Arabidopsis thaliana: one gene and its partners. The protein of the gene in region 3 interacts with the protein of the main gene of each other region in a pairwise test. Each region holds a gene or a part of one and is shown on either strand. Other genes may lie near its edges.

What was found.
Region 1: the proteins of PIP1;5 (region 3) and EMP1 interact in a protein complementation assay, tested with the Arabidopsis thaliana proteins (one large-scale study listed by BioGRID).
Region 2: the proteins of PIP1;5 (region 3) and ABCG10 interact in a protein complementation assay, tested with the Arabidopsis thaliana proteins (one large-scale study listed by BioGRID).
Region 4: the proteins of PIP1;5 (region 3) and DTX1 interact in a protein complementation assay, tested with the Arabidopsis thaliana proteins (one large-scale study listed by BioGRID).

The regions. Positions count from the first base shown.
Region 1 is NC_003076.8:3,424,160-3,429,477, reverse strand, and holds EMP1 (Endomembrane protein 70 protein family), read left to right. Parts: upstream 1-1,580; 5' UTR 1,581-1,680; coding exon 1,681-1,818; intron 1,819-2,298; coding exon 2,299-2,463; intron 2,464-2,565; coding exon 2,566-2,675; intron 2,676-2,770; coding exon 2,771-2,882; intron 2,883-2,965; coding exon 2,966-3,078; intron 3,079-3,158; coding exon 3,159-3,309; intron 3,310-3,410; coding exon 3,411-4,568; 3' UTR 4,569-4,790; downstream 4,791-5,318. Other genes in the region: CBSX3 (Cystathionine beta-synthase (CBS) family protein), read left to right, coding at 1-59, 163-305; AT5G10830 (S-adenosyl-L-methionine-dependent methyltransferases superfamily protein), read right to left, coding at 4,829-5,318.
Region 2 is NC_003070.9:19,861,063-19,865,162, forward strand, and holds ABCG10 (ABC-2 type transporter family protein), read left to right. Parts: upstream 1-1,758; 5' UTR 1,759-1,815; coding exon 1,816-3,588; downstream 3,589-4,100. Other genes in the region: AT1G53265 (uncharacterized protein), read right to left, coding at 36-413; DJ1B (Class I glutamine amidotransferase-like superfamily protein), read right to left, coding at 3,880-4,077.
Region 3 is NC_003075.7:12,218,966-12,222,972, reverse strand, and holds PIP1;5 (plasma membrane intrinsic protein 1;5), read right to left. Parts: upstream 2,333-4,007; 5' UTR 2,182-2,332; coding exon 1,851-2,181; intron 1,578-1,850; coding exon 1,282-1,577; intron 1,188-1,281; coding exon 1,047-1,187; intron 914-1,046; coding exon 818-913; 3' UTR 505-817; downstream 1-504. Other genes in the region: AT4G23390 (NEP-interacting protein, putative (DUF239)), read left to right, coding at 3,286-3,444, 3,583-3,669, 3,749-3,976. UniProt on the Arabidopsis thaliana protein: Aquaporins facilitate the transport of water and small neutral solutes across cell membranes.
Region 4 is NC_003071.7:1,333,726-1,338,111, reverse strand, and holds DTX1 (MATE efflux family protein), read left to right. Parts: upstream 1-1,561; 5' UTR 1,562-1,631; coding exon 1,632-1,877; intron 1,878-1,965; coding exon 1,966-2,510; intron 2,511-2,601; coding exon 2,602-2,688; intron 2,689-2,769; coding exon 2,770-2,826; intron 2,827-2,918; coding exon 2,919-3,363; intron 3,364-3,447; coding exon 3,448-3,498; 3' UTR 3,499-3,654; coding exon of another isoform or gene 3,655-3,828; 3' UTR 3,829-3,842; downstream 3,843-4,386. Other genes in the region: AT2G04050 (MATE efflux family protein), read left to right, coding at 1-47, 124-568, 676-726; AT2G04039 (DUF2996 family protein), read right to left, coding at 3,655-3,825, 3,910-3,987, 4,129-4,334. UniProt on the Arabidopsis thaliana protein: Efflux carrier for plant-derived alkaloids, antibiotics, heavy metal and other toxic compounds. Involved in cadmium detoxification. Requires probably a proton-motive force for the efflux.

The DNA of each region.
Region 1 (5,318 bases), on a different chromosome or scaffold from region 3:
TAAGCTTATCACTGTGACACCGGAGACCAAGGTCTTGCGTGCTATGCAACTGATGACAGGTAAGCAGACAACTTGATATTTTTCCACTAAAGATACAAGCTTTTGGGTTTAAAACCTACTGAAGCAAATAAAAATGCGGGTTTGTGTTTTTGTAATGTACAGATAACCGAATCAGGCATATTCCGGTAATCAAAGACAAGGGCATGATTGGAATGGTGTCCATAGGAGATGTTGTCCGTGCAGTGGTTCATGAGCATAGAGAGGAGCTTCAACGCCTAAATGCGTATATTCAGGGAGGTTACTAGATCTTGAATAATGGAAAGAAAAGAGTTCCCTGTTGTGTCGTCTGGTCTTGTGCTGCTGAATCTGAAAAGCTTCCAGATCAGTGTAAATATGCAGTCCTCGTTGTTATTGTTGTTGTTGTTGTGTTTGATGTTTTGTGTTGTTTCGTTGTTTAACTTGTCAAAACTAAGGCCTTGTGCTGCTTCTCTTCTTGCGCTTACTTAGCAAGAGAATAAAACCAAAAACTCTGATCTCTTTATGAAAGATATGATGTTTGTTTTTGTTATCAAATCTTGCGTCAAGTATCCATGTGTGTTATGAAATAATAGAATTACTTTGAAAATTTGATTTCGGTACAAAGTTTCCGTGTCTTTGGACCATGAAAAATATCTTAACAAGTAAACCAATTCTTTGAATACAAACAAGTAAACCAAGGCAAAATATAAAACGATAGATTTTCTTCAAATCAAATCGATTATGGTGTGGTCACAATATCGTCTCTCAAGGGATCAAACTCCGGTGACCAAGCTTGCACCATGAGATAGCGATCAAACGCCCTCCATGGACCTCCTGTCAACGCTGCCATGTATTCCTCCTCCGCTTCGAACCGAATCATGAAAAACTTACGAGGGAGATCCACAACAGACATTGCTCCTCGTGGTTTCCACATCTCTCGAAGCTTTCTACTTAATGCTGATATTGTCATGTTACGCCCGGGCACTTTCACGATCAAGCTGTTCTTCAACAAACCATTCATCGCCGCCAATACCTCACTGCCAATTGTTATCACTGGTTCTCCATCCTCACCATCAGGGAACTCCAGTGTCATTTGCTCAGACACAAACTCATCATCTAAGATATCATTCGGATTTAGGATACCACCTAAATGTCCCCCCACCACTTTCTTCACCCACGAACCCGGTGCATCAGGAGGGTCTCCCGGAGAATGACCTTTCTCTCCTAGGTCCGTCATGGTCACATCTTGCGTTTCAGATCTCAAGCCTCCGGCGGCGTCGCCCATTTTCTCTCTATCGATTATATTGAGACCACATTTTAACACAATCTTAAAAATGTATAGCAAATGCTTAAAAATCTTGATTGACTTTAATTAATCATGGTTTATCGGATTGGTTTATCCTAGGGTGGGCTTATCGAGTTAGGCCCATTGGTTATGTAGGCTTATAGCTCGTAGAAAGACTTCATGCGTAGTGACGTGGTGAATTATTAATGGTTGATAAGGATCAAACATAAACGAGCCAAACCGGAAAAATAAACCGGGAAGTATTAAATCACAATTAGAGGCGGGTCTTGGTCTCGAGTCTCGAAGCGTATAAGAGTCAAATACAACTGTAGCGTAGCTTCAGATCTGGTTATTTTCTTCCTTCGTGTGGAACAGCCATGGCTATGGAGTTTCTGAGGAGCAGTAGAAGAATATTGGAATCTTCTGGATGCGCGATCGCTTTGATTTTTCTGCTCTTCATCCATGGAGCTCACTCATTCTATCTCCCAGGTGTTGCTCCTCAGGATTTCGAGAAGGTAAAAACGTTTCGAATTTGTGCTTCTAGGCTTTTAGATCTGATTTGGATCTCCTGGATCTGCGTTTCGATTTCCGCTAGGATTAATCCGTTCTTGATTCCCGAGAAAGCTAGAGATAGTGAGAGTTGGAGTGCTGATGCACCGACTTTTGGTTTAGCTATTTTTCTAATAGAATTGGTGATTTCACTTCATTTCCGCTTCACTAATCTCTCGATCTGAACAATGTAGCGTCTTAGGCGAGCTATATCGATATTTATTCTTCTGGATTAGCCTTATTCGCTGTAATTTTGATTACCTTTGTTAGGTTCTTAGTGATCTCTCGCTCTTGATTCGCTTGCCATTACTACGAAATCCAAGTTATGGGTACAAGGGCAATGTCGGTCCTGCATGTTATATGACGAGTCTCAATCAAAGTAGACTTGCATGTTTCACTTCAAAATCATATTCAAATTTTGAGTCTTGTTTTCTTGTATGTTGCAGGGTGATGAGCTGAAGGTGAAAGTGAATAAATTAACTTCCATAAAGACTCAGCTTCCATACTCGTATTACTCCCTTCCTTTTTGTCGCCCTAGCAAGATTGTGGACAGTACTGAGAATCTTGGAGAAGTGCTTCGGGGTGACCGGATTGAGAATGCCCCATACTCGGTTAGTCTCGTATTCAATTTTTAATTTTGTAATTCATCAGGCTGTCAAAAATATTATGTCTGTGATTTAACTCTAACCCTTGCGGGGCTGAAACAATTGCAGTTTAAAATGCGGGAGGCACAAATGTGCAATATTCTCGGCCGGGTCACTCTTGATGCCAAGACAGCTAAAGCGTTTAAAGAAAAGATCGATGATGAGTACCGGGTCAACATGTAAGACCAAATACAGGCACTTTTCTTTGATTATTTGTATGAAGAACATGCTTTTCTCTGTCAGTTTTATTATAAGTGTTTCTGGTCTGTGTTAGGATCCTCGACAACCTTCCTCTGGTTGTTCCAATTGAAAGAGTCGACCAGGGTTCTCCCTCTGTTGTTTATCAGCTTGGTTATCATGTTGGTCTTAAAGGCCAGTACGAGGGGGTAAGTAGGTTTTAATTGTTAAGACACTAAATGGAATTCATGCTAGATCGTTCGATTTTCTAATTTTGTTTTTGCATACGCAGAGCAAAGAGCAGAAGTTCTTTATGCACAATCACTTGGCATTTACAGTCCGCTATCACAGAGATATCCAAACTGATGCTGCAAGAATCGTGGGATTTGAGGTTAAACCTTACAGGTGCAGTTCTTGTTCATAATTTGAATGTCTCTTGGGATCCCCTGTCATTCAGAACTGATATTCCCTCCGTTGATTTGTAGTGTGAAGCATGAGTATGAGGGAGAGTGGAGTGAGAAGACCCGTCTGACGACTTGTGATCCTCACACGAAACGCCTGGTCGTTAGCTCGGCTACCCCTCAAGAAGTTGAACAAAAGAAGGAGATTATCTTCACATATGACGTCGATTTCCAGGCAAGTTTTTTCTTAAGTAATCTGCGGTTTGTGTCTTAAAAAAATTTCATGAATTCTTGTTTTCAATAGTTTTTCTGATTTCCTCTTCTGTTTCTGTCCAGGAAAGTGAAGTGAAGTGGGCATCTAGATGGGATACTTATCTTCTGATGAGTGATAACCAAATCCACTGGTTCTCTATCGTCAATTCTCTGATGATCGTCCTATTCCTATCTGGTATGGTGGCAATGATAATGCTGAGGACCCTTTACCGTGACATTTCACGATACAACGAGCTCGAGACTCAAGAAGAAGCTCAAGAAGAGACAGGATGGAAGCTTGTCCATGGTGATGTTTTCAGACTTCCTACCAATTCTGATCTGCTCTGCGTCTATGTTGGAACAGGGGTCCAGTGTCTAGGCATGGTATTTGTCACAATGATCTTCGCCATGCTCGGATTTCTCTCCCCTTCCAATCGGGGTGGTCTGATGACTGCAATGCTCTTGCTCTGGGTCTTCATGGGACTCTTTGCTGGTTACGCCTCTTCACGTCTCTACAAAATGTTCAAAGGAACAGAGTGGAAGAGAATCGCTTTCAGAACAGCCTTCTTGTTTCCTGCAGTTGTGTCAGCAATCTTCTTTGTCCTAAACGCTCTCATCTGGGGACAGAAGTCATCTGGGGCTGTCCCCTTTGGAACAATGTTCGCCTTGATCTTCCTCTGGTTTGGCATCTCAGTTCCTCTCGTCTTTGTTGGGGGTTACATTGGGTTCAAGAAGCCAGCGGCTGATGACCCAGTGAAAACCAACAAAATCCCGAGGCAAATCCCAGAGCAAGCTTGGTACATGAACCCGGTTTTCTCAATCCTCATTGGAGGAATCTTACCGTTTGGTGCAGTCTTCATCGAGCTCTTCTTCATCCTCACATCCATCTGGCTCAACCAGTTCTACTACATCTTTGGGTTCCTCTTCCTCGTCTTTGTAATCCTCATTGTGACTTGCGCCGAGATAACCGTAGTACTCTGCTACTTCCAGCTTTGCAGTGAGGACTACCTTTGGTGGTGGAGATCATACCTCACATCAGGCTCATCAGCTCTCTACCTCTTCCTCTATGCCACGTTCTACTTCTTCACAAAGCTTCAGATCACCAAACTGGTCTCTGCGATGCTTTACTTTGGGTACATGCTCATCGCCTCCTACGCATTTTTTGTGCTCACAGGAACAATAGGGTTCTATGCTTGTCTCTGGTTCACAAGGCTCATCTATTCCTCTGTTAAGATCGATTAGAGGATATGATGATCATCATGGCGATTAAGGAAACAAAGAAGAAAAGGTGATCATAGTTTATCTTATTTTTCTTTTTAAAATCGGTTTTGTTGCATTTTAGGTTCTATTTTGTTGCATACCAAAAGAGATTTTAATATATGTAATAGAGTGTATTTTGTTTGATTTGTCAAATAACAACACTTTCTGAGAATTTTTGCAATATAACCAATTTTTATAAATAAACTCAAATGAGAACAACAATCAATCATGGTTTGGTGATATCAAACTCTAACTTTTCCTGCAATCATAAAAGCTTTGTAAACGACGGAACGAACCAGATCAGAACCTCCCCAAGCGGTTTCAAGCTCTCTCACCAAACTCTCCGGTAACAACTCGACGCCTTTCTCTCTCGCCGTGACGATGGCCGACCATGATTTAAACATCCTTATGATCCCTTCAAACGACGTCGTTTTAGGCATCTCCAGCTTTAATGGCTCCCCTTCTGATCCCATCCCAACATTTTCGAAAGGAAACGGCAATGCTTCGTACGAATCGAAGATGTGCTGAATGTACGGATACTTCCAAAACGGCAGCGTTGTGGCGTGGAGCCGATACTGGACGGCGTCGAACTCTGGACTCACTATGACGTCGTTGTATCCCCAGACAGCGATGATTCCGCCTGGTTTACGGAGGAGTCGTGTGGCCACTGAGTAGAACCTAGGGAGATCGAACCAGTGTACGCCTTGGGCGACCGTGATTAGATCCACTGAG
Region 2 (4,100 bases), on a different chromosome or scaffold from region 3:
CATTGTTATTTCAATTGACATGAGAAACCCATTTGTCACGAAATCATCATAAACAACCATATGTTGAATTCTTCTCTTTCGTCGAGGTTAGTAGAGAACATATCTGGTTGCTCAGTGGGAGTGACATTAAAAACGTCGTCTATGTATTGTAGATTAGGTATTTCAATGATACCTAGTTGAGGATCTCTCAAATAGCTTATAATCTTTGGTAGGACAAGATCCTCCATATTCGTATGCAAATGGACATTGGCAAAGTTATGTGGTAGCTCATATTCCCGTTCTGCTAAGGCCATCTTTTTGTGCTCTTCAGAGCAATACCGAGATTCAGGTGCGTAGACACATGTACAAGACCAGTACGCGAAGGCCTTATCTTTATGCACATAATGCATAACACGAAGATTGGCAACACCCATTGCAGAAACCTGCTAATACACATTGTTAGGTCTAGAGAAAAAAACTCTCTCTCGCAACTTTGAAGATTTTGTTTGCTCTTTGGATTGTCGAGATTGTTTCATTTCGTGTTTTTATATTATTTTTTACTTTTAGTTTTGGATTTGAATCTTAGGTTTAAAAAAGAAAAAGAAAAATTGTGATCAAAACGACATGGTTTGATTGAAGATGATGCTAATTCATTAAACATGGGTCATTTGAGTCGACGTATGTTAGTATTAACTAACATTTGTTATTGCAGATCCTAAAATACGTGCGACCTATAAAGTTTGGATATAATTTTTTTTTTTTTATGAATTTGGGTAAAGAATTAACATTGTACAGTATGTTTTATATAAGAAAACAATACTTTGCAAATTGTACTGGTATAAAAATATCGTTTTTCCAGTCACCCGCTTACGTTTGGTCCAAGTTGTTTTTAATTTTATACCGAATTAAAGTTTATTAGTCACAACTTTAAGTGTTTTTTCCAAACCCAAATCAAAATTCGATTTTTTTCGTCACAACTTTGAATCAGCCCCTTCACCTTTGCAGCCACATCTAACCGAATGCCCACCTAGACAACATCTTATAATGCGTCTTTTTATTATTATTATCCAAAAATAATTAAATTAGTGAGGTTTCTTACGTGATTATTCCTTGTTAATTAAACATCTGAATTTCCGTAAGCGAGTTCGAAACACGTAATTAAATATTGTAGGTAATATATAACAACCAAACTGGGTTTCCTCTCTTTCTTTGTTAGAAAAAACTAATAAATTAGATAAAACAAGTTCACCAACAAGGCAAACATTTCACGGTCAATTTTTCAGCTCACCCGAATTTGAGAATCTCTAGACGAAACCAAATCTCTTTCTAACTAATTCTTTTTTTGCTTTTCTTGTACCTCTTCACAATTTCAAAACCCAATTAAAAAAAAAAAAAAAAAAGAACCAACTACATATCTTAATTTCTTAGATATTTTTTTTGGTCAACCAATTTCATTAGAAATTAAAAAATACAAGAAAAACAACAAATGTTTAATTTCATATAAATTTATCTAACTGTATCAATATTATTTACGAACAAATTCTTTATTAAGAAAAACAAATTAAGCATTTTAAGCTTGGAATCATAAATATCTTTGGTTTAATTTAGTCATAGTCAAGTGCTTTTCGGTTTTCATGGAAGGCAATAAGAGAAAGCTAATAAAGTCTTGAAGCTTTTGAATGTTTGAATAATAAAGGAGAGGTTCCTTAAAGTTTGGTGTGTTAGTTCATCTTCTCTACCATTTATTCTTCACTTAATCTCACACTCTTTGCTCAATTTGTTGATTTCTCTATCTCTCAAAGTTTGATGCTTTCTTTTTCCTTCTTTCTTTCTTAGATGGAATTGCCGGTAAAAGCTCCTATTCCCGGTGGCCGGGAAATCTCATATAGATTAGAAACCAAGAATCTGTCGTATAGAATAGGCGGAAACACTCCAAAGTTTTCTAATTTATGTGGTTTGTTGAGTGAGAAGGAGGAAAAGGTTATCTTAAAGGATGTTTCTTGTGATGCAAGATCCGCGGAGATCACTGCGATCGCGGGTCCAAGCGGAGCAGGGAAAACCACGTTGCTGGAGATTCTAGCCGGAAAAGTTTCTCATGGGAAAGTTTCAGGGCAAGTGCTTGTCAACGGTAGGCCTATGGATGGTCCTGAGTACAGGAGGGTTTCAGGGTTTGTGCCACAAGAAGATGCTCTGTTTCCGTTTCTTACGGTGCAAGAAACACTGACGTACAGCGCACTCTTGAGGCTGAAGACAAAGAGGAAAGACGCGGCTGCAAAGGTGAAGAGGCTGATTCAAGAGCTTGGTCTAGAACATGTTGCGGATTCAAGGATCGGTCAAGGATCAAGATCTGGAATCTCTGGAGGAGAGAGAAGAAGGGTTTCTATTGGAGTTGAACTTGTTCATGATCCAAATGTTATATTGATCGATGAGCCAACCTCTGGTTTGGATTCTGCGTCCGCTCTTCAAGTTGTGACGCTTCTCAAAGATATGACGATTAAACAAGGTAAAACCATTGTTCTGACGATTCACCAGCCTGGTTTTCGCATACTCGAGCAGATAGACCGGATAGTGTTGCTCTCTAACGGGATGGTTGTTCAAAACGGATCAGTTTATAGCCTTCATCAGAAGATTAAGTTCTCCGGTCACCAGATTCCTAGGCGGGTAAATGTCTTGGAGTATGCAATTGATATTGCAGGGAGTCTTGAACCGATCAGAACCCAGAGTTGCAGAGAAATCTCATGTTATGGTCATAGCAAAACATGGAAGAGTTGCTATATTAGTGCAGGAGGAGAGCTTCATCAATCTGATTCTCACAGCAACTCAGTGTTAGAGGAAGTGCAGATACTCGGGCAAAGATCTTGCAAGAACATCTTCAGAACCAAGCAATTGTTCACAACCAGAGCCTTACAAGCTTCCATTGCCGGTCTTATACTGGGGTCGATTTACTTGAACGTAGGAAATCAAAAGAAAGAAGCGAAAGTCTTGCGAACCGGGTTCTTCGCCTTTATCCTCACTTTCCTGCTATCTTCCACAACAGAGGGACTTCCAATTTTCTTGCAAGACAGGAGAATCCTAATGAGAGAGACATCGAGAAGGGCTTACAGAGTTTTGTCTTACGTTTTAGCAGATACTCTCATATTCATTCCCTTCTTGTTGATCATAAGCATGCTCTTTGCTACGCCGGTTTATTGGCTGGTCGGTCTCAGAAGAGAGCTAGACGGCTTCCTCTACTTCTCATTGGTGATATGGATTGTTCTTCTGATGTCAAACTCTTTTGTCGCATGTTTCAGTGCTCTTGTCCCAAACTTCATAATGGGGACATCAGTAATCTCAGGTCTCATGGGATCTTTCTTCCTCTTCTCCGGGTATTTCATTGCAAAGGACAGGATCCCCGTTTACTGGGAGTTCATGCATTATCTCAGCCTCTTCAAGTATCCATTCGAATGCCTGATGATCAACGAGTATCGAGGAGACGTGTTCTTAAAACAACAAGACCTCAAAGAGTCTCAGAAATGGAGCAATCTTGGTATCATGGCAAGTTTCATCGTCGGGTACAGAGTCCTTGGATTCTTCATCTTATGGTACAGATGTTACAGAACAAGAAGCTAGGTTAATAACAATGATCTGCAGATATAATTCAATTTGTTTTGTAATTTTATAAGAAATTTTACTTTCTCATATTCTTTCTTTTTGTTCAGCACTTTCTTATATTCTAAAATTCGCAATGTAAAGTAACAAAAAAACTTTCTGATAAAAACAGAGTAAACTCGTTTATTTATAAGACAGTTTTAAGCATCACACTTAGTACAAAGCTCACCACAACAACGGTACACTCATTGATCGTTTGATACTAAAGCCTTTTTCTTATTAAAGTCACTCTTACCTAAGATACTCATGAGTTTACACAAGTGTTGCCTTTGAGAGCTGAAGTCCTTTCTCGCGCCCGTAAAACTTCTCTACAATTGCAAGTGCAAACTCCAATGAGGTTCCTGGACCCCTGCTCGTTATGAGATTGCCGTCCACCAAGACTCGATGCTCGATGTGACTCTGGTCCGTCAGTTTGCTGCACATTGCTGGAAACGCTGTTGCCTTCTTACCCTGTAAAAAAATCCATTAAAAAT
Region 3 (4,007 bases):
AGCTCAAGCTGAAGTCTTGCACTTTCTTGGCCCATCCATATTGCTACAACTCTTTTTTGGATGATAGTCATGTAGACTCTTTCACATTTCTTGGCCCATTAGATTCTTTCATGACTATCATCCATATTACAAGTTGCTGCATCAAACATGTGAAATATGTTATCATTCATGTGAAAGATGTTACTAAATCTGGTTCTTTTATTATTTTACTGGAACCCTACCATGTGGAACAGAACATGCATTTTCATGACTATCAACCAAAACCAAAACCAAAACCAAAACCCCGAACTGAACATCATCCAAGAATATCTATAACTGAAACTGTGATTCAAAAGTTGAAAATTCAGTTATAAGCATGTTATAAAAAGTGGAAAATGAAAGACTCTTATAGAAGAAAGAAGATGAAGAAATACTTGCGATGATGGTGTTAGACCAGTTCAGTTCGGCTTAGATGTTGTTCTATCAAATTCTACACATTTTACAATTATGTTGCTAATGTTTGGTATTGGAAACACTTATTGACAATGTTAGCAACTTAGCATACCTATGTCCAGTTCAGTTATGTCTCTGTGATATTCAAACAAGATTCTGAGCTTACACATGTACACAATGTATTCTTCCATTGACATAATTAATGTTACAAGATACAATGCCATTGATACATAATAGATTACACATTTACACTGTTACAAGATCAAAGCTCTAGTGGTACATATAGAGATCATCACACATGACATAGGAAACAAGAAGAAAGCATATAGAATTAAAGATTGATATATTCTTAGCTTGATGATGATCAGAGAATATGTAGGAAACTTTATGTCTTGGACTTGAAAGGAATAGCTCTGATGACTATCTGATGGTACAGAGCAGCAAGCGCAGCACCAATGAATGGACCGACCCAGAAGATCCACTGCAGACACATAAAACAAAAGAGACAACAGATAAGAGCAGAATTATCAAAAATTCTGAGTTGCTATTTAGATGCAATTCATAACTTATCATACTTAGCACAACCGTTGATGTAATTAAAGAGGAAAACTTACATGGTCATCCCAAGCATGATCCTTGTTGTAGATGATGGCAGCTCCGAGACTCCTGGCCGGGTTAATGCCAGTTCCAGTAATTGGGATGGTAGCCAAGTGCACCAAGAAGACAGCAAACCCAATTGGAAGCGGAGCCAAGATCTGCAAAATGTTCGATAACCAAAAAACACATGAGCTCTATGTGAAGAATATGAACTCAACACAACTCAAGGATACTAGAGAATTAGCAACATACAGGGACATGAGAGTCTCTGGCACTTCTCTTAGCATCAGTAGCTGAGAAAACAGTGTAAACCAGAACAAAAGTTCCAACAATCTCTGCACCAAGACCTGAACCCTTTGTGTAACCATGAGCCACCACATTAGCTCCACCGCCATTCGTCTGGTACAGCCCTGGTTGAAACCCTTTAACCACACCAGCACCACATATAGCTCCAAGGCACTGCATTACTATGTAGAACAGAGCTCTGGTTAAAGATAGCTTCCTCGCCAAGAACAAACCAAAAGTCACCGCCGGATTAATATGTCCTCCTGCTCATTACCAAACCAATTCGCCACACACAAGTCAAAATCAGATTATGATCTTCACACAGAAGAAACAAAGTGGGGCAAACTAACCAAAGTTTCAAACTTTAAGAAGAAAATTACTCAAAGTTTCAATCTTTAAATGTGAAATTACTTTTAAGTATCAAACTTTCTTCATTATATCCAAGTTTCTCACAACCAAGTAACCCTAATTCCAGATTCCTTCAACCTAAATTCGAAAACTTTAAACAAAATTCAGAGCAAGAACAGATCCTGAACCTGAGATTCCAGCAGTACAGTAAACAAGAGCAAAGATCATGCCACCAAAAGCCCAAGCGATGCCTTGGATTCCAACAGAGGCACACATATTGGGAGCTCTCTTAACACCCATGACTGTCAAAACGGTGACGTAGAGGAAAAGGAAAGTGGCTATGAACTCAGCTATCCCTGCTCTGTAGAAAGACCAAGATTTGAGCTCGCCGGGTTCGAAAAACGGCGCCGGTGGTGGTTCCTTATAGTCCTTGCTCTCCGTCTGAGCCGCCGTACCGATCGGCTGTCTCTCTGGGAACTTGTTGGCTCCAACATTGACGTCTTCTTCTTTGCCTTCCATGTTTCTCTCTCACTCTATCACCACCAACTTTAGTTTGTTGTCTCTGTAAATTTGATGACTGGTGTATGTGGAGGTTTTATAGTTTGGTTCATTTAGGCAAAAATAATTATTAATTAAATTTGCTACTAATTTCCAAAATCTTATATTTGTTATTCATGCAAATTTCTAAATTATCAGAAAATGTGTAAATAAATAAATATAGTTAATTACTAATTATAGAAAATAAATTAGTGAATTTAGACTAAATTAACTTAATCTGTCTAAAATTTTTGTGATAGATAATTTTAATTGCAATGGTTGATATAGAGTCGCACTCAAGTCTCTTTTGATTGATGATTTGCATTTTTTTTATTGTCAATCATAACTCGTGGTTTATAAACCTACATTTTCCATGTAAGACTTTTAATTCGTTTAATGTTTAATAACGGTTTTCTATCTAGTTAGTCTTTGAGCATAATACTTAAATTAAAAAATGTTGTTTTAAGATAAGAATTAGAGGTAGGTAGTTGAAATGGACTGGACAACTAGGCGCGAAAACGATGCATAGAAGAAGATGGACATAAGATTAAGCAACTACCATATAATTTGTTAAAACAGAATATATTACAGCTCAAATGATGTGGACAATTCTAACATAATGTTTCTATCAATTATGTGAATGATATTATAGAGGAAATTATTGGATGTCAAAAATATTATAGATGAAAGAAGACACTTCACATGGAAAATGTTCGCCTTATCGATCTCTACTGTTTATAGATCAATTCATGGTTTATTTAAGTTCCTTTGTGTCACTACTGTGTTTTTTTTTTATATTGGGCTTTGATCTAAAAACTTTTTTTGGGGTCAATTGATCCATAAACAAGCTTTTCCTTTTTCTTATGGAATATACTTTATACAAAAAAAAGTACATTAAAAAAAAGAGAAATCTTACTTTAGCATCTACATATGGGCAATAGAGATAGAGGGAGATACATTTGTCATTTACTGTGTATAGGTTCTTTGGTGGTTATAAATGATCTCAGATTTATGTGACACAATAAATATAGTTGTTCTGCTTCATTTTTTCTTTTGAAAAATATAGATTAAGATCCTTGATTCATCATGAGGTATTCCAATAAACTAATTATCTTGCTAACTTTATCAACAATAGCTCTCATTTTAGTTGGAGAGAGTCACAAAACAATACCTTCGAAAGAGGAGAAAGAAGAGATGAAGAAGCTACTTACCTATCTCAATAAACCTGCAGTCAAAAGTTTCCAAGTAAATTTAGCCTTTCTTTTCTTAAATTTTCATAAAACATTACAAAAATTGTTGACTATTGTAACAATATTACAACTATCATCAAGTTACATTTATTTTCAGACCACACCAATTTTTTCTTGCTTTTGATTTCGACAGACTGAACATGGTTATATATTTGACTGCATCGACATTCAAAAACAGCTAGCTTTTGATCATCCTTTGCTCAAGAACCATTCTATTAAGGTTTATCCTACAAACCACGAAAAAATATCTATAAATAAAATTCTTATTAATGTTTGGATGGATTGAAATATAAATGCAGTTGAAACCCACAACTATACCTAAATGGACCAAAGATAACAACGCTTCTCATAAAACTAGTTCTCTGCCATTTCGACAAGATGACATAAGTTGTCCAGTTGGGACAGTCATTGTCAAAAGAATTATACTTGAAGATCTTATACGAGCTCAACGTTTGCAATCCTTACGATTCAACTATCCAGGACAAGTGTCTGCAAAGGACAAGAAAATTGATTTAACTGGTCATCATGTAAGAATCATTTCTTATTACACGTAGTTGA
Region 4 (4,386 bases), on a different chromosome or scaffold from region 3:
GCAAGTTTGCACTATGTGATTCCAGGTGGAGTCGCGGCGGCTGTGAGGTATGAACTCAAATTTTTAACCAAACATATTCAACATCTTCTTCCTAAACAATAATAGTCATTTGGTTTCTTGCAGCACACGCGTGTCAAACAAATTGGGAGCTGGGATTCCTCAAGTTGCTAGGGTTTCAGTATTGGCAGGGCTTTGTCTCTGGCTTGTAGAGTCAGCTTTCTTTAGCACACTTCTCTTCACATGCCGAAACATTATAGGCTACGCATTCAGCAACAGCAAAGAAGTTGTGGACTATGTGGCTAACCTAACTCCTTTGCTCTGCCTCTCCTTTATCCTCGACGGTTTCACAGCAGTTCTGAATGGGGTTGCAAGGGGAAGTGGTTGGCAACACATTGGAGCTTTGAACAACGTGGTAGCTTATTATCTTGTAGGAGCTCCTGTTGGAGTATACTTAGCTTTCAATCGTGAGTTGAACGGAAAAGGACTTTGGTGTGGTGTTGTGGTCGGATCCGCTGTGCAAGCCATAATATTGGCTTTTGTCACAGCTTCCATAAATTGGAAGGAACAGGTAAAACACTTAGAATAGAAGATTCGTCATTTTAGCATGTTATACTTGTACATTCTTTTTTGTTCTTTCTTTAATACTATGAAGTAATTTTAATCTATGATTTGCAGGCTGAGAAGGCTAGGAAGAGAATGGTCTCTAGTGAAAATAGATTGGCTTAAACTAAGGATGTTTCTGAGAGCTATCTCAAACTATTTTTGTAGGTGTTGAGCAAATTTTTATGTATGGTATATTAATGTGTTAAAAAATGTTCTTACAAAATAATTTATATGTATGATTTTTTCTCAGCCTATCTTTTTCACTATGTTGTGTAACTTGTAAGTGTATAATCATCATTTATCCATAAACATGCTTTTCTTAATTTTTTCACATGTCATTCCCAATAAATTTATTTTATGGTATTTGTGACTATAACCACAATCTTCTACCAATAAATCTTAGTGAACCCTTTCCGAGAGAGCTTTTAGGCTCATAATACAATACTATTCAGATTTTGAAACTCGGACCTTCACGACAAATCTCTGACGAAACTTTGGATTCTACTTGAGAGCGGCTGTCACTTTTAGTTTCAACCACAAATGATTTACTAAAACCTGTGTAAAATCAGATCCAAATGTCTTTAAAGTGGTCTAAAGAATCAAAACTTAAGGTAAGCAAATTACTTAAATTAGAGTCAAACTTTAGGACTATATAAAAATATAAAAATCCACAAAAGTAATTAATACAAGATTGAATGTTCAAACTCTACAAAACAAAATAATTCATATTAGTCTTCAGTCTTCACATATGTTCTTATGTAAATAATTAAAAAGTATTAACACTAATGACATGTCATTTTTAATATGTATATTCTATATATCTATTTTTATAATATAGTATATTCGTGTGCCACTAGTATCTATATTTTCAAACAAGTCAAAACGAATTTGCTTCTTTACTCATCATATCTACTTCGTCACCACGTTTGTAGTTCAAGTTGCCTTTGTTGTTTATTGACTTAGTCGGTCTATAAAGATAGGATAAATATCATCTTAAAATCAAAGGGAAAGGCCTTCAACGTTAAACAATGGAGGAGCCATTTCTTCTGAGAGACGAGCTTCTAGTCCCTTCTCAAGTCACATGGCATACAAATCCATTAACCGTCGAGCTAAAGAGAGTGAGCCGCTTGGCCGCTCCTATGGCCACTGTGACCATTGCTCAGTACTTATTGCCTGTCATCTCGGTCATGGTCGCTGGCCACAACGGCGAGCTCCAGCTCTCCGGTGTCGCTCTTGCAAACTCCTTCACAAACGTCACCGGTTTTAGCATTATGGTAATTATGCTATGACTCTAACCTTTTCAACTCAAGAATCAAATGGACTCTCTCAAGTATTGAAAACACTTCAATTATTTTTGTGCAGTGTGGATTAGTGGGTGCACTTGAAACTCTTTGTGGCCAAGCTTATGGAGCCAAACAATATGAAAAAATCGGAACTTACGCATACTCTGCTATTGCTTCCAACATACCAATTTGTTTCCTCATATCAATTCTCTGGCTTTACATCGAAAAGATCTTGATTTCTCTCGGACAAGACCCTGAAATTTCAAGAATCGCTGGCTCCTACGCCTTTTGGCTTATACCGGCTTTATTTGGCCAAGCGATTGTCATACCACTGTCCCGGTTTCTGCTAACACAAGGGTTGGTTATTCCTCTGCTCTTCACTGCCGTGACCACCCTTTTGTTCCACGTTTTGGTTTGTTGGACTTTGGTTTTCTTGTTTGGTCTGGGATGTAATGGACCTGCCATGGCTACAAGTGTGTCTTTCTGGTTTTACGCTGTGATACTCTCATGTTATGTGAGATTCTCCAGCTCTTGCGAGAAGACTCGCGGATTTGTATCCCGAGATTTTGTGTCTTCTATCAAGCAGTTCTTCCAATACGGAATCCCATCAGCTGCAATGATTTGGTAAGTCATTTTAAGTTGTTTGTCCGTCAAGTTACATACCCTAATGCTCTTCTTCTTATCCCGCTTGCATTTTCTCGGTCTTCTTTAATAGTCTAGAATGGTGGCTATTTGAGATACTCATACTCTGCTCAGGTCTTCTCCCTAACCCGAAACTCGAGACCTCTGTTCTTTCAATTTGGTAAGTACCATAGAAGGACTTCTTTTTATCTTTTGTGGTCTCTTTACTAAAAACTAATGAATCCTGTTTCCTTCTTTTCAGTCTTACAATAGAAACTTTGCACTATGTGATTTCAGCTGGAGTCGCCGCGGCTGTGAGGTATGAATATGATCTCAGTTTTATCATTCAGAACATCTTCATCTTATTATAGACAATTCTTTCCTAAACATTTAGTGATTGGTTTCTTGCAGCACACGTGTATCAAACAATTTGGGAGCTGGGAATCCTCAAGTTGCTAGGGTTTCAGTATTAGCAGGGCTTTGTCTCTGGATAGTAGAGTCAGCTTTCTTTAGCATACTTCTATTCACCTGCAGGAACATCATAGGATACGCATTCAGCAACAGCAAAGAAGTTTTGGACTATGTAGCTGACCTAACTCCTTTGCTCTGCCTCTCCTTTATCCTCGACGGCTTCACAGCAGTTCTAAATGGAGTTGCTAGGGGAAGTGGTTGGCAACACATTGGAGCTTGGAACAATACTGTTTCTTATTATCTTGTAGGAGCTCCTGTTGGAATTTACTTAGCTTTCAGTCGTGAGTTGAACGGAAAAGGACTGTGGTGCGGTGTTGTGGTTGGATCTACTGTGCAAGCCACTATACTGGCTATTGTCACAGCTTCCATAAATTGGAAGGAACAGGTAAATAGCCATTTCAGCTTTTTACACTTGTAAATTCTTTTATGTTCATTCATTAATGCTATGAAGTAATCTATGATTTTGCAGGCTGAGAAGGCAAGGAAGAGAATTGTCTCAACTGAAAACAGATTGGCTTAAACAAATGATGTTTCTCATAGTTATCTCAAACTATTTGTATGCCTTATGCAAATTTTTTTTGAAAGATGTTTATAAAAGAGGGTCATTTGTTTTCTTAATCAATTTTATGACAAGGATTTATAAGTTTTCTTCAATTTTGGTATACAAATGTAATAATTACAAGTGAACAAAAACCTCATTGGTTCCAAACGGGGATGATCCCTTGTGCAGCAAGACGCTTCTCGACCCAAAACACAACGTGGTTCGCAGTTGGTTTCCTCTCGTCGACAAGAAATGGTTCCACGGTGCTCGGACCTGACCCGTGTGAGGAAATTGAAAATCCTTTTGCTCCTGTTTTAAGCAACAAACCAAAAGACATAATGTTCCATTGAAATTTTCTGTAACAAGAGTCTCAAGTAAAAGATTCAATACTTCACCTGTAAGGTTTCCAGTAGGGAAAAAGGCCCAAAAGGAATATGGAATACTTTTCTTTAAGAAAAAACCTTCCAACTGACACAAATAATGATAATTGTCTTAGAAGTTTAATCAAGAAGACATTTTGAGAACATCCAATAAAACTGGAGCCATATAGGGTAGAGAGATGGCCCCATAAGCATGGCAACAAAGCATTAGAAGTTAGAAGCAAGAAACCTTATCGTCTTGGAAAGATAAATCTATGTCAGAGATATCATCTTGAGATTCAAGAATGGCTTGTAAAGGAGGAATCACGTCTTCTTCCATCATTTGTCTCAGCGGTTTCGCCACTGCAGCCGCTTTAGCTGCGGGTTTAGGTTTCTTTGCCGGAACCGCCACTGTTGACTCTTCTCCTTCTTCTTTGTTTTTCTTTTCAGTAGCAACTAGGAAGAGAACAAGAAAGTTACTCTTCTCGAATTTTTGAGCCAAACATTC